Rattus norvegicus: one gene and its partners. The protein of the gene in region 2 purifies or fractionates together with the protein of the main gene of each other region. This does not show direct contact. Links are inferred from orthologs where the notes say so. Each region holds a gene or a part of one and is shown on either strand. Other genes may lie near its edges. The genes, in order: Fmr1, Fbxw7 and Med13.

Evidence for each region.
Region 1: the proteins of Fbxw7 (region 2) and Fmr1 purify together in Homo sapiens (affinity purification with mass spectrometry, with the first as the bait; 3 studies listed by BioGRID). This does not show direct contact. The link is inferred for Rattus norvegicus from reciprocal best matches to the Homo sapiens genes FBXW7 and FMR1.
Region 3: the proteins of Fbxw7 (region 2) and Med13 purify together in Homo sapiens (affinity purification with mass spectrometry; 5 studies listed by BioGRID and IntAct, with this or other methods). This does not show direct contact. The link is inferred for Rattus norvegicus from reciprocal best matches to the Homo sapiens genes FBXW7 and MED13.

The regions. Positions count from the first base shown.
Region 1 is NC_086039.1:152,284,015-152,287,761, reverse strand, and holds the start of Fmr1 (fragile X messenger ribonucleoprotein 1), read right to left. Parts: upstream 2,833-3,747; 5' UTR 2,652-2,832; coding exon 2,601-2,651; intron 1,838-2,600; exon of another isoform or gene 357-1,837; intron 1-356.
Region 2 is NC_086020.1:172,601,206-172,604,852, reverse strand, and holds part of Fbxw7 (F-box/WD repeat-containing protein 7), read right to left. Parts: coding exon 3,572-3,647; intron 2,189-3,571; coding exon 2,007-2,188; intron 198-2,006; coding exon 1-197. UniProt on the Homo sapiens protein: Substrate recognition component of a SCF (SKP1-CUL1-F-box protein) E3 ubiquitin-protein ligase complex which mediates the ubiquitination and subsequent proteasomal degradation of target proteins.
Region 3 is NC_086028.1:71,671,306-71,675,052, forward strand, and holds the start of Med13 (mediator of RNA polymerase II transcription subunit 13), read right to left. Parts: upstream 2,597-3,747; 5' UTR 2,526-2,596; coding exon 2,460-2,525; intron 2,336-2,459; exon of another isoform or gene 1,452-2,335; intron 539-1,451; coding exon 304-538; intron 1-303. UniProt on the Homo sapiens protein: Component of the Mediator complex, a coactivator involved in the regulated transcription of nearly all RNA polymerase II-dependent genes.

The DNA of each region.
Region 1 (3,747 bases), on a different chromosome or scaffold from region 2:
GTGGAGAAGACAGGGAGGTCAATAAAGTCTAACTGTCCAAAAAGAATTAAAGAATAAAAATTTTTAAAAATTAAAAAAAGTAGTCACAAATCTAATAGTTTTAAAAATTAAACAATAAAAGAAAAAATCCAAATCAGAACTGGTTGGCTCTTACCATGCCAGAAGCATGATTTGTGAATCTGAAATCTTCAATTTATTGATGTTTTAGAGAAAGAATCAAATCATTCCTAATATGTGTTCTATATAGTTATTCTGCAAACTTAATGTGCTCAGGGAATGTACAACTACCCTTTACAATACAGTAGTTCTAGTAAGCAAATCAAAAGCTGAATTCAATTATACTGAATTTGACTTACTTCGCTTTAAATTTTTACTTCTACCAATTTAATGAACAGGGTTCCCAGTGTTTCCATAATGGTCTTTACTTCTCATCTTTGTCATCAATCTCACCAGAAAAGGACTCAGCATGCTTCCACTTTATTTTCTCCTGTTCACAGTCAATATTCTAAGTGATGTAAAATTTAAACTTCTTTCAGTATAGCCAGTACCCTTCCTTTAATATAGACCAGTTGAAACTTAAAAAAAAACCAAAAAACAAAAATAAACTTAAACACAATAGCAATTCTTCAACACACACTTTAAAAGAGTACTACATGTCCCCTCAGGGAATCAAAGGATAATTCAAAGTCTATTCATTTTCGTTCATCTTCAAATTAAGAAGTTGTTGAAAAACAAAGCCAAGAAAAAAGCAAGGGGATTAATAGTGGAAACAGTGCACTTTTTAAAAAATATTCCAGTCAGTTTGCAAGCAAAATTACTGGGGCCAATAAATCCTTCAAGAGTAGGATGCACTACTTGCCCTCAATGGCAAGCCAACTTCATTAAAAGCAACTAACAGTGGACTCAAATCTAAGCTGGTATTAGAGATGAACAAAAATACTACTTAACTATTATCCCTTGCTCATCTGTGTCTCAGTGCCCCAACTCTAGCAATTAAAACTGTCATTCTAGAAACTAGAAACCTTCTAATGCAAAATAACCAAAACTAGAAACCTTCTAATGCAAAATAACCAAAACTAACTGGAACATTTTTTTATTACAGCAAATTGAAAAAACTGCACTGATAGAATTAGCAACAAAAATGCTGCATTCTTTCTGTCTCCCATGCTACAACAAAAGGGTATTTTTAGTATAAATTAGTATTTTACAAATTTCCCTCATTCATGAAATTTATCTTCCACTAAATGTCTCCATAGACTTGATAAAAGCATAATTTATCTTCTACTAAATGTCTCCATAGACTTGATAAAAGCATAATTTACAAAAGTCACTTTCCTGAGCTTAGCCTAGTACGTCCCATTTGAAATGCTCAAGTTCTTCTACAATAAACTTAAAACGGTTGGACAATGGCAAAAGCTATTTTCCATGCTTCCTTCCACGTGCAGCTTCTGTTACTAAAATATTCTACTGAGGTGGGGCCTTACAGAGCTTGTAAACATTAAAAAAAGAGACTTTATAATATTGCTAGATCTACATCTATGCAGTATCAGGAATCATACCACATTACATGTATTTTAAGGTTCCTTTAAAAAAATATACGTTATCTGATATTCAATGGTATAAAAAAAACCCCTCAGTAGTTCCATGAATGCTTATTTAAAACCTCAAGAACATAGCCCACTGCAACACCGCAAAAGTCAAAGCGAATATACTCAAGTTTATGCACTTCAGAGCACAAAACAAACATTCCAAACCGTCCTGGTAAAAATTCAGTAGCAATCAGACAGTCCCCGTTAATTTCCTGAAGTTCTGTGGCACAAATTCGGGTCCTTGAGAACTTAAACACAAAGGAAAATTTAAAATAAGCAGACTTGGTAATATTTTTAGAAGTCGCGACATGTTTATCCCTGAATTTCCCCCAGTTACAGAGGGTAGGAGGCCATGGATATCAGCTTTGGCTAGCGTTTTAAATGGCTCTCTCAGATGTCATGGTCTTTCAGAAACTTTTAGGTCTAAAACCCTCCTTCGAAATTCACAAAGAGGCCACTAAAGAGCAGTTGCCATTGTGATTCCGGACTGCCAAGGGCTTCTTAGAACTCGCTCCACTCCGCTCGCCCAGAACAGGGGAGCTCTCCAAAGTCTGGACTGTGGGCCGACAACCCGGAGCCCAAGACTCCGAACCGCCGTCCGGCAGGGCAGGAGGCGGCGGGGCTGAGGCGCCCCCGGTTCCCTCACGGCTCCCCGCGTGTCAGGCCCCGAACCCACTAGGAGAGGATTATTTGGGAAAGCAGGACTAAGCCGCTGCCGCCACTTCACGCGGCACCGGCCCTATGGCCAGATCTACTGTCCTCGCATTCCCGCTTCCCTGACTGAACTCGGCCGCTCAACCACCCTCAGCTCCCGCGCTCCTTTCGCGTTCCGCCGGGCGCCGGGGCCTCAGGCGGGAGTCAGAGCGCTGAGGCGGGCTCTAGGCCCTGAGTCCGCCGCTCCCTCACGACCTACCGCCCGCCGCTCCCGCCGCGCCCGAGGGGCCCGCCCGCCGCCCGGGACACAAGGGAGGGAGGGAGGCCGAGGACCCGGCCTGTCCGGTAGCCCGTTACCTTGTAGAAAGCGCCATTGGAGCCCCGCACTTCCACCACCAGCTCCTCCATCTTCTCGTCCTTCCTCGCGCCGGGAGCCCGCCTCCGAGAGGTGGGCTGCAGGCGCTCGAGGCCCAGCCGTCGCCGCCGCCGCCGCGTTACCGCACGCCCCCCGGCAGCGGCGCCGCCGTCACTGACACCGCCCGCGCTCGCCGTCCGTTGGCTTCACTGCCCGCCCTCTCAGGCGCGGCCCCTCACCGGAAGTGAAACCGAAACGCTCCCCAGCGCAAGACTGACTGAGGCCGAGGGCTCTGCCGCGCCTCCTGTAAACAGTCAAACGACACCACGTGACCCTGGCGGCCCCTCCCCCATGGGCTCCGCCCCCTTCGCTCCGCCCTCTCTCTTGGGCAGCTGAGCACGCGCATGCGCCGTCGTGGGTACCTGCCTTGGGGTAACTGGGCAGATACTTTGGCGCGCGCGCTGGGTGAACGGCGGGAAAGCGCAAAGGGTAGTAACAGGTCGTGCTGCCTATGGCCAGCCGTGGGGACTAGAGGCCTTTTTTGTACAGGAGGAAGCGAGGACGTGGGAAAAGGCCTCCAGTTTTTGAAAATGGGGCCCAACCAGAAGTGGAGGGGCTTTGGGTACATTTTTCACTGCGCTGGCGTGGGACCTGATTGAACTGGAAGTCGCGGCGGGAGGGGAAGTTAAAGTGATAACTTCGATTGGAGAACACTTTGATGTAGGAACAGTTATAACTACACTGACCCTGACTTCTGGGACTTTTATGGCCAGAGTGCAAAATAAATCGCTATACTACCTAGCGATTTGGGGAAGCATTGTGGGAACTTTTGAGTACTTTTTAAGGGCCAATGGAGTGTGCCAGACCTTCAGGAAATGTTAGCCCTTTCTCAGACAATGCTGTCCCGCACACTTTCCTTTCATACTTTTACTTGGATTTCGTAATAAAGAGAGCTCACTGAAAGAGGGAGAGACAATGAATGTGTTAAACAGTTGTTAATTTCCTTACAGTTGGCTTTTGCCTCTTCTATGTGCACCCTATACCAGAGAGAGGGCATCAGGAAAGCAGTCATGGAACCTGTCTATGCACATCATTGTGTCCACTCCATGCAGCTCTTTTCCTGTGCCTTCCACAGCAGAACCAAGTCTA
Region 2 (3,647 bases):
CCTGTAACGTGTGTAGACAGGTCTCGGTCTCTGGATCCCACACCTTCACCATAAAATCATATGCTCCACTAACAACCCTCCTGCCATCATACTGAACACAGCGGACTGCTGCCACATGGCCCATCAAGACGTGTAAACACTGGCCGGTCTCAATATCCCAAACCCTGAGAGTGGCATCTCGAGAACCGCTCACAACCCTGCAGAGAGGAACAGAACGAAAGTTAGACAATGAATGCACAGGGCAGAGGAAACCGCTGCTTTCTCCTTTTTTCTTAAACAGAAATCCTTTCCCAAGAAACGCTAATGCCTTTAAATGCAAATTCCAGGTACTCTGCCTGGAATGAGAAGTGAGGAAGACTTGAAGCTCAACTGGTCACTGGCTTATGGGCCTTGGTTCCACCTCAAGGCTCCATGGTCCAGTTTAGGGAGCACTGTACTGCAAGAAACAAGCACCTGTCCACACATACAGCAAGATCCTGGGCAGCAGGATCCTGGGCAGCAGGTAACGGGGCACATGCAGGATCCGCCATGCACCTCCAGGGGTATGAACTCATAACAATCCAGAACGTTCCCTCTCTATGACCTCTGTCATTACATTACACTGCAGGTTCCTACTACCTATTCGAGTGAAGAAAAATCTCAGCACAAATTATCTTTAGACAAAGGAAGAGTTTTAAAGTGACTTTGGGACTCAGAAAGCCATGGCTGTTTCCTTATGCTCCACATTAAGGGAAGTCAGTTTCAGACGCATGCTCACAGCTGGTGACTCACAGATTGTTAAAGATGTTCCTACAGCAGTAACAGCAGTGCCTAAGAAACTGTCGCAGTGCCACAAACACTATCCTCTTCTGAAAAGCAGAGTGAGACAGTCATGCAGGTACCTCCAGATTCCCAACCAGGCACCTTTACGTCATTCCCTAGACATAAGAGCCACTCTCCATTTTAAAGAGTGGAGTTCAGAAGTGTGAGATAACGAACACAACAAAAATGGAAATGTTATGTCCTTTGAAACCCATCCCTAAACTGTAATCACTGTGCAAAGAACACACTGTGCAAAACAGGCTCAAATTTAGGAGTGAAAAGGAGCCCCGTGTACAGCACAGCTGTAGGGAGCCTATTTACAGCGATGGGTCTTGATACAAGGCAGGATGGACAGAGCTGTGGTCATGCGTGCGTGGAGTCCACGTAAGGACCCTTCTAAGATACATGCTTTCAGAGCTGTGAACGCAAGGACCCTCCTGTCTCTACCTTCTCCGTGCAAAGATGAGCAGCCAAAAGCATGCTTTCTGACAAATGAAGTAGAAAACACAGCCTCTTAGCTGGGCGCAATGAAGATGGGTCAACAGAAGGACCTGAGGTTAGCAGAAGCCTGAGATACAAAGCCCCAGGCAGAGACTGGGTGGGAAAGGGCAAAGAGGCCAGGCTTGGCTGAAACCACTTGGAAATGGGACTGAAAGTTCTCCTTCATTTGGTGGGCAGAAGTAGGGCAGCAATGCCAGCCTAAAATGAGGGCTCTCTGTCAGCGTGCAGAAGGCCAGAGGACCCCACACCTGAGGCTCTCCACAGCTCAGATGACCAGTACTGAGAGTAAGATAAGGCCCCTGGACCTCAGCATGTCTACAGCAGGGATGCGATGGACTGGGGACAACGTGGGTGTGGCACTCAAGGACTCAGGCTACAAGTCCCAGTGACTAAATCTGTTGTTCTTGCACAGCATAAATATGAAAATCAAGAAAGAAAATGATTTTTGTTTAAAGATGATGAATCATCAAAACATCAAAACAGATTAGAGAGCAGAGTTTGAAGAAAAACAGCCATACGTCAAATGAAGAAGAAAATTTAAAGACAGCCCTCCACTTTTAAGCCAGCATAACCTAACTTTCTTGGTTTAGGACCACCTGCACCCTGTCCTTAGTGGCCACTGGAGGAGCTCATTAGCACTCCCTTAATCCCAAATCCACAAGTAACAGTAATGTGAGCCCCAGTCGCTAGGGCGTGGCCTTTACCTTTTTTCATGGAGATGCATACACCGTACAGTGGAGGTGTGCCCATATAACGTATGTATACACTCTCCAGTCTCTGCATTCCACACTTTGAGAGTCCGGTCAGTAGATCCACTAATGATGATATTGTCTCTCATCTGTGAAGACCACACTCCACCGGTGTGTCCCACTAACGTCCTCAGACACTGGAAAAACACCCCAGATGATTAATTTTAGGTAGAAATGCAAGCAAATTAAAGGCTATATTAACATCTCATTAAAAATCTGGAATAAATTTTACTTATTCAACTTCATGAGAGCGCTAGGAAAGCATTTTTGCATACCAATGCTACATGGCGCCATCACTACTGTTTGCTTATTTGGTAGCTGAAAATGCTACAGGGATACACAACTGAGGAACAAGTATGGAGAAAGAAACATGTGATAAAACCTAAGATTCACATGAAGGGCTGGAGAGATGGCTCCGTGGTTTAGAGTACTGGCTGCTCTTTCAGGGACCTGATTTGATTCCCAGCACCCACACGGTGCCTCACAACCACGTGTAACTCTAGTGCCCAGGCATCTGACCCCCTCTTCTGGTCTCAGAGGGCACCTGGCATGCATGTGGTGCACAGACAGACATACAAGTAAACAGTTATACACAAAATAAAATGACGTAAAAAAAGTTTAAAGAGATCGCATGATACAAAGCCTAAGGCGTCAGAAAGCAAAGTAATGAAGCAAGTAAGCTCCACAGCCCCAGCCGGTCAGCAGGGTTAAAACCACCCAGGCTGCAGCAGGGAGTCCCACTGAGGAGGACCAGGGCAGGAATGGGGGAGAGTCGGGTGTGGCCACATACCACAGCTCACCCATCTCCTCAGGGCAGTAGTTAGGGCGGCCTAGGCTCCTTCTAGACAAGCAAAGACAGACACTGAAACTCCCAGATAAACCCCAAACTAATATTATACTATGGAAACGTGGAGCTGCTTTTAAAACTTTAACATCTGAGTATTTGTAAAAGTCTTGTCCGAGGAACACCACAGCAAAACATATTTTAAAAAAACAAGCTTTTCCATACTTTCCTCTGCTATGTTTCAAATGGTCAATGTTCACTAGAGACTCGTTAAGGAGCCGTATGCAGTACATGAGGCACGGCCGCCCTGCTTCATTTCCGTACCACTAATGTCGAGACAACTCTTACAGGATTTACTCCGTTTCTAAATTACAGATAGCTTAGTAACAAAGCAGTTTATAAGGAAAATTACAAATCTCTGTCATGTTTTGGAAGGCCTTAGGAAGTAGTGATTCTGATTCACACGGCCAAGGTGAAAGGTTCTCAGGTAAAGAAATGAGGGTGTGCACCTGAGATACCTTAGACTAAGTGACAAAGACGGCAAACTATTTAAGTGGAGAAAATGCTACTGCTGCCAGCATGCCAAAAAAGTATTCACGAACATAAGGAGAAGGTAAGTGTTTCTAAAGGAGGCCTGATATTCGTGATTAAAATAGTTGGGACCAAAACACCCCCTTTACTGTGACTACACACACAAAATGGTGACTCCCTGAGGTATGGAAAGACGTGAACTTACCTTACCCGTGACCGCTGACCAAACTTTTAAAGTGTTGTCATCAGAACCACTAACTATGCGGTTACCACAAAACTGT
Region 3 (3,747 bases), on a different chromosome or scaffold from region 2:
AGTTACACTTGACTTCAAAACTATTATATAACTATGAAAAACACCATGCTTCCAGATTCCATTTTTCTCAGGTTAATGAAAATGCTTTCCCTAGATACAAACTGTCTGTGAGAAACTACAGAAGGGAGCTGGGCTGTAATCTACATGGCTAACTTGAGGAAACTAAAACAAGGATGGTTAAACAGAGCATGGCAACTGCTCTTATAGCTTCCCACTGACAAGACAGCCCACCACAGCATATGCACATTGGGGAAAGTATACAACGTTGCTAAGGCACATTGAAAAAGGATAAATTGCTTTCACCTGATAAGTCATGGTGAATAAGGTCAGCAAAATTGGGATCTTTACCCCACCAAAATATCCACAATTCTCTTCTTCCAGGTCTTTGATCTCGCCGCCAAACACCGAGTACATCTGCCTTAAGGCATCGACTAAAACTGCTCAAAATGGGGTCTTCTTCTGTCACCGGAAACAGAATAGGGGCAGAAGTTGGGCCTTGCCATACATATCTTTTCCACTTAATTCCTGTCAGGTCGGCCTGAAGGAAAAGAAAGCATAATATCTATATTATTGTATATTCACTCAAATAAACAATATCGATTATTAAATATAATATATTATGTTACTACATATTTATATATAAATATATATTCACTATAAAGTCTTTGATTCATTAAAATCACTATTTTCAATTCATGCTTAAGAACTGAAAGTTGACAAAATTAAAAAAACAAACAAACAAACAAACAAACAAAACACCATGGCCAATTTTAATGTTTCAACCAACAAGAACTGAAGGAAAAGAATACAAAACTGTTAAATAAAATATCAAAGATGCCCGTGAGTAGCCAGTCTGTAATAAACACAGCATATCGGAAGCCGACCAAGGAAACAATGATGGTAAGCCTGTCTGTCGTCTCTAGCCTACATTCCTCTCTAGCCGTCAGTCACAGTCGCTCCCTGGTGAACTGAAAAGTAAAGGCCCTCATTGCAACGTCGTAAGACGTCATGGCTCTAATGAAAAGACTCTGAATGTTTTTCTGAAAAGAAAAAAAAAGCCTGCTAATTCCCCACGAGCACACATCTTCAGGAAAAGAACTACTTCCAAGGAGCTGTCAGATTTGTGCTAATCTATCTTCAAAAAAACCGAAGTGCCAAAAATAGATCCAGTTGGGGAAGACAGAAACGTTAAACCTGCTGTACATCTTACTACATGTGATGAGATGCTGATTAATGGACACTGTCGAGAAAACCAGTCTAATCTGTAAGGCAGAAGTACGTTAAAGATCCCCATTTACCATATCGTGAAAGAGATTCAACAAAGGAAATTCATAATTCTTTACTCTAACTTGGTGACAGAAAGCATACGGTGCCAAAAATGAAACTGCTGATACATGACTGGCAGTTTACGCTTGCCAACTAGTTATGCTCCACCCACTTAATTCACTTACCTATGATAGACTTAATATTTCCCACAGCACAAGAAAAATGAAAAAGTCACTCCAACTTAAAGTCATTCACGAAGCTCGGATATCGTTTAATTCAGGACTAGATATTTGCAACAGTTGGTACTTTTGACAAAAAGTCTTAACTATTGGGTGTTATCCGATTTGGGCCGACCTACATATACATACTAGAACATCCCTAATTCCAGCTTCCCCACACTTTTCAGTTCAATAAAAGGAACAGCCAGCTCAAAACATTCTTAAAACGTAAGCAAAACTGACAAATATAGAACGTTTAGTGCGAAACCACAGTACCTCCTCCACTAGCCCCTCCACTCTCACAAAAACATAATGTTCTAATAAAAGCAAGATGGCTAGAAATTGTCAAAATGGCAAAATGTTTTCAAAGTTTAAAAAGAAAACATATGAACTGGCAAACACTGTTTTTACACAAAGATCTGAAGTCACCCATAAGGAAACTACCCCTGTGTTAGTTTAACTTATAAAACGAAGAGGGTTTTAATACATAAGTTTTGGGGGGTCCTGTTTAAGAGAAGCCCACTTACAAGGGAAGGGCGTAAAGGCAGTGAAGCAGGCAGGGGCAATCCTGGAAAGTGTGGAAAAGGGATACGCTGTTCCATACAAGGGGCGGGGGGTGGAGGGGGGGCAAGCAAGAAGCACATAAGAAAATATTACTATCCGGCCAGATAAGAACCCAAGTTAAGGACAAGACTACGATGGAGAAAAAGACTCCAAAACAAGACAGGAGGAGGGGAAAGACTTTAAAGAAAAAAAAAAAAAAAAAGGCAAGACTCTTCCTAGCAGAGCCCTGGCCGGTGGGTGAGCGGACGCTGTCTCCCGGGGGCGGCCGCAGAGCCTCGGAGAAGGCCGACTCCGGCGGCGGGGCCTAGCCCGGGGACACCGGCATCTGGATGCGACCCGGACCCCCTCCCCCACGGCCCAAGGGCGCACGGCGCGGCCCCCTCCCCCATCGCCCGCGGCCCCCGCACTCACCAGGCAGAAGAGGTTACAGTGACAATCTTCCAGGCTGGCCCCGTTCGACACGAAGGAGGAACTCATCGTCCCTCACAGCAGCCGCCGCCGGCGCCACAACCCACCATCCGCCATTACCGCCGCCTCCGACCAGAGAGAGAAACACAGACACCGGGGAGGGCGGGGGGCGGTGGGGAGGAGGCCGCCGGGCCGCCCGCCCTCCCCGCCGCCCCCCGGCGCCGCCGCGGCCCCCGCCGCCCGGAGGCACCCAGCCGCCCGGGGCCGAGGCCGCAGGCGGGAGGGCCGCGCCGCGCTCGGCCGGCCGCCGGGACTGCGGAGCCCGCGGACGCGCGTCCCTCTCTGGAGAGGAGGGGAAGGGATGTCTGTCCCTTCCACCAGAAAAAAAAAAAAAGATTTAAAAAAGAAAAAACGAAAAACAAAAAAAAATAACAATCAGGGACACGATAAATAGTCAGAGCCGGAGTGGGAGCAGGCCGAGCCCTGACGCCCGGGAGGGTTCTCCGCGGCCCGGGGACGCCCGCGGAGGGGCGGGAAGGGCGAGGACCGGCAGAGCAGCCCGGGCCCCCGGCCCGGCAGCGGCGATGTCCTTAAGCCCAGAGTCTCCTCAGCGGCGGAGGTGGTGGCGGTGTCTGCGGGCTCAGTCCATTCTCCGGCTCTGTCCTCGTGTTGTCCCTGGGCCAAGCCTGCCTAACGTCTGCTCTCCTGCCGCCTCACCGCCTGGACGCCGTAGTCTCCCCCATTTTGTGGGCCCAGCGGGCGGTGTTTTTCCCCCTTTAATCCGAATTCACGGGTTTTCCCTTCGCTTTAATGGCGGCCACAGGGACCAGCTCGCCCTCTCTGCTCGCCCATTGGCCGCCGTGAGGTCACGTGGGCCGGGCTCCGTAGGGAGGGGGGGAGAGAGAAGGCGGTGAGGGAGGGCAGGGAAGCTTTCGGAGCCCCGGGGACCCGGCGGCCAGCTGGTGGCTACTGAGATGGCGCCATCTGCTGGATGCCCCGGTTAAGATGACCCAAGCCTTGGCCCTAGCTTTCTGCTGGCTGGGGAATGTGCAGCACAGGAAGGTTCACTTCAAAACCCAGAATTACTTGGAAATCAGTTCGAATTCTTTGGAAGAGAAAGTTGGCAAAAGAAAGAAAGGAAAGAAAAGAAAAAGAAAGAAATTCCAATGCACTCTCATTTATTCCATAAGGCCTCTGGGTACATCGAGAAACTCTAGGACTAGAGAAATCAGAGCTGGATAGACATCAACCTCACCCTCTCTTTTTAAGTTATAATAAAAAGGTAAAAACG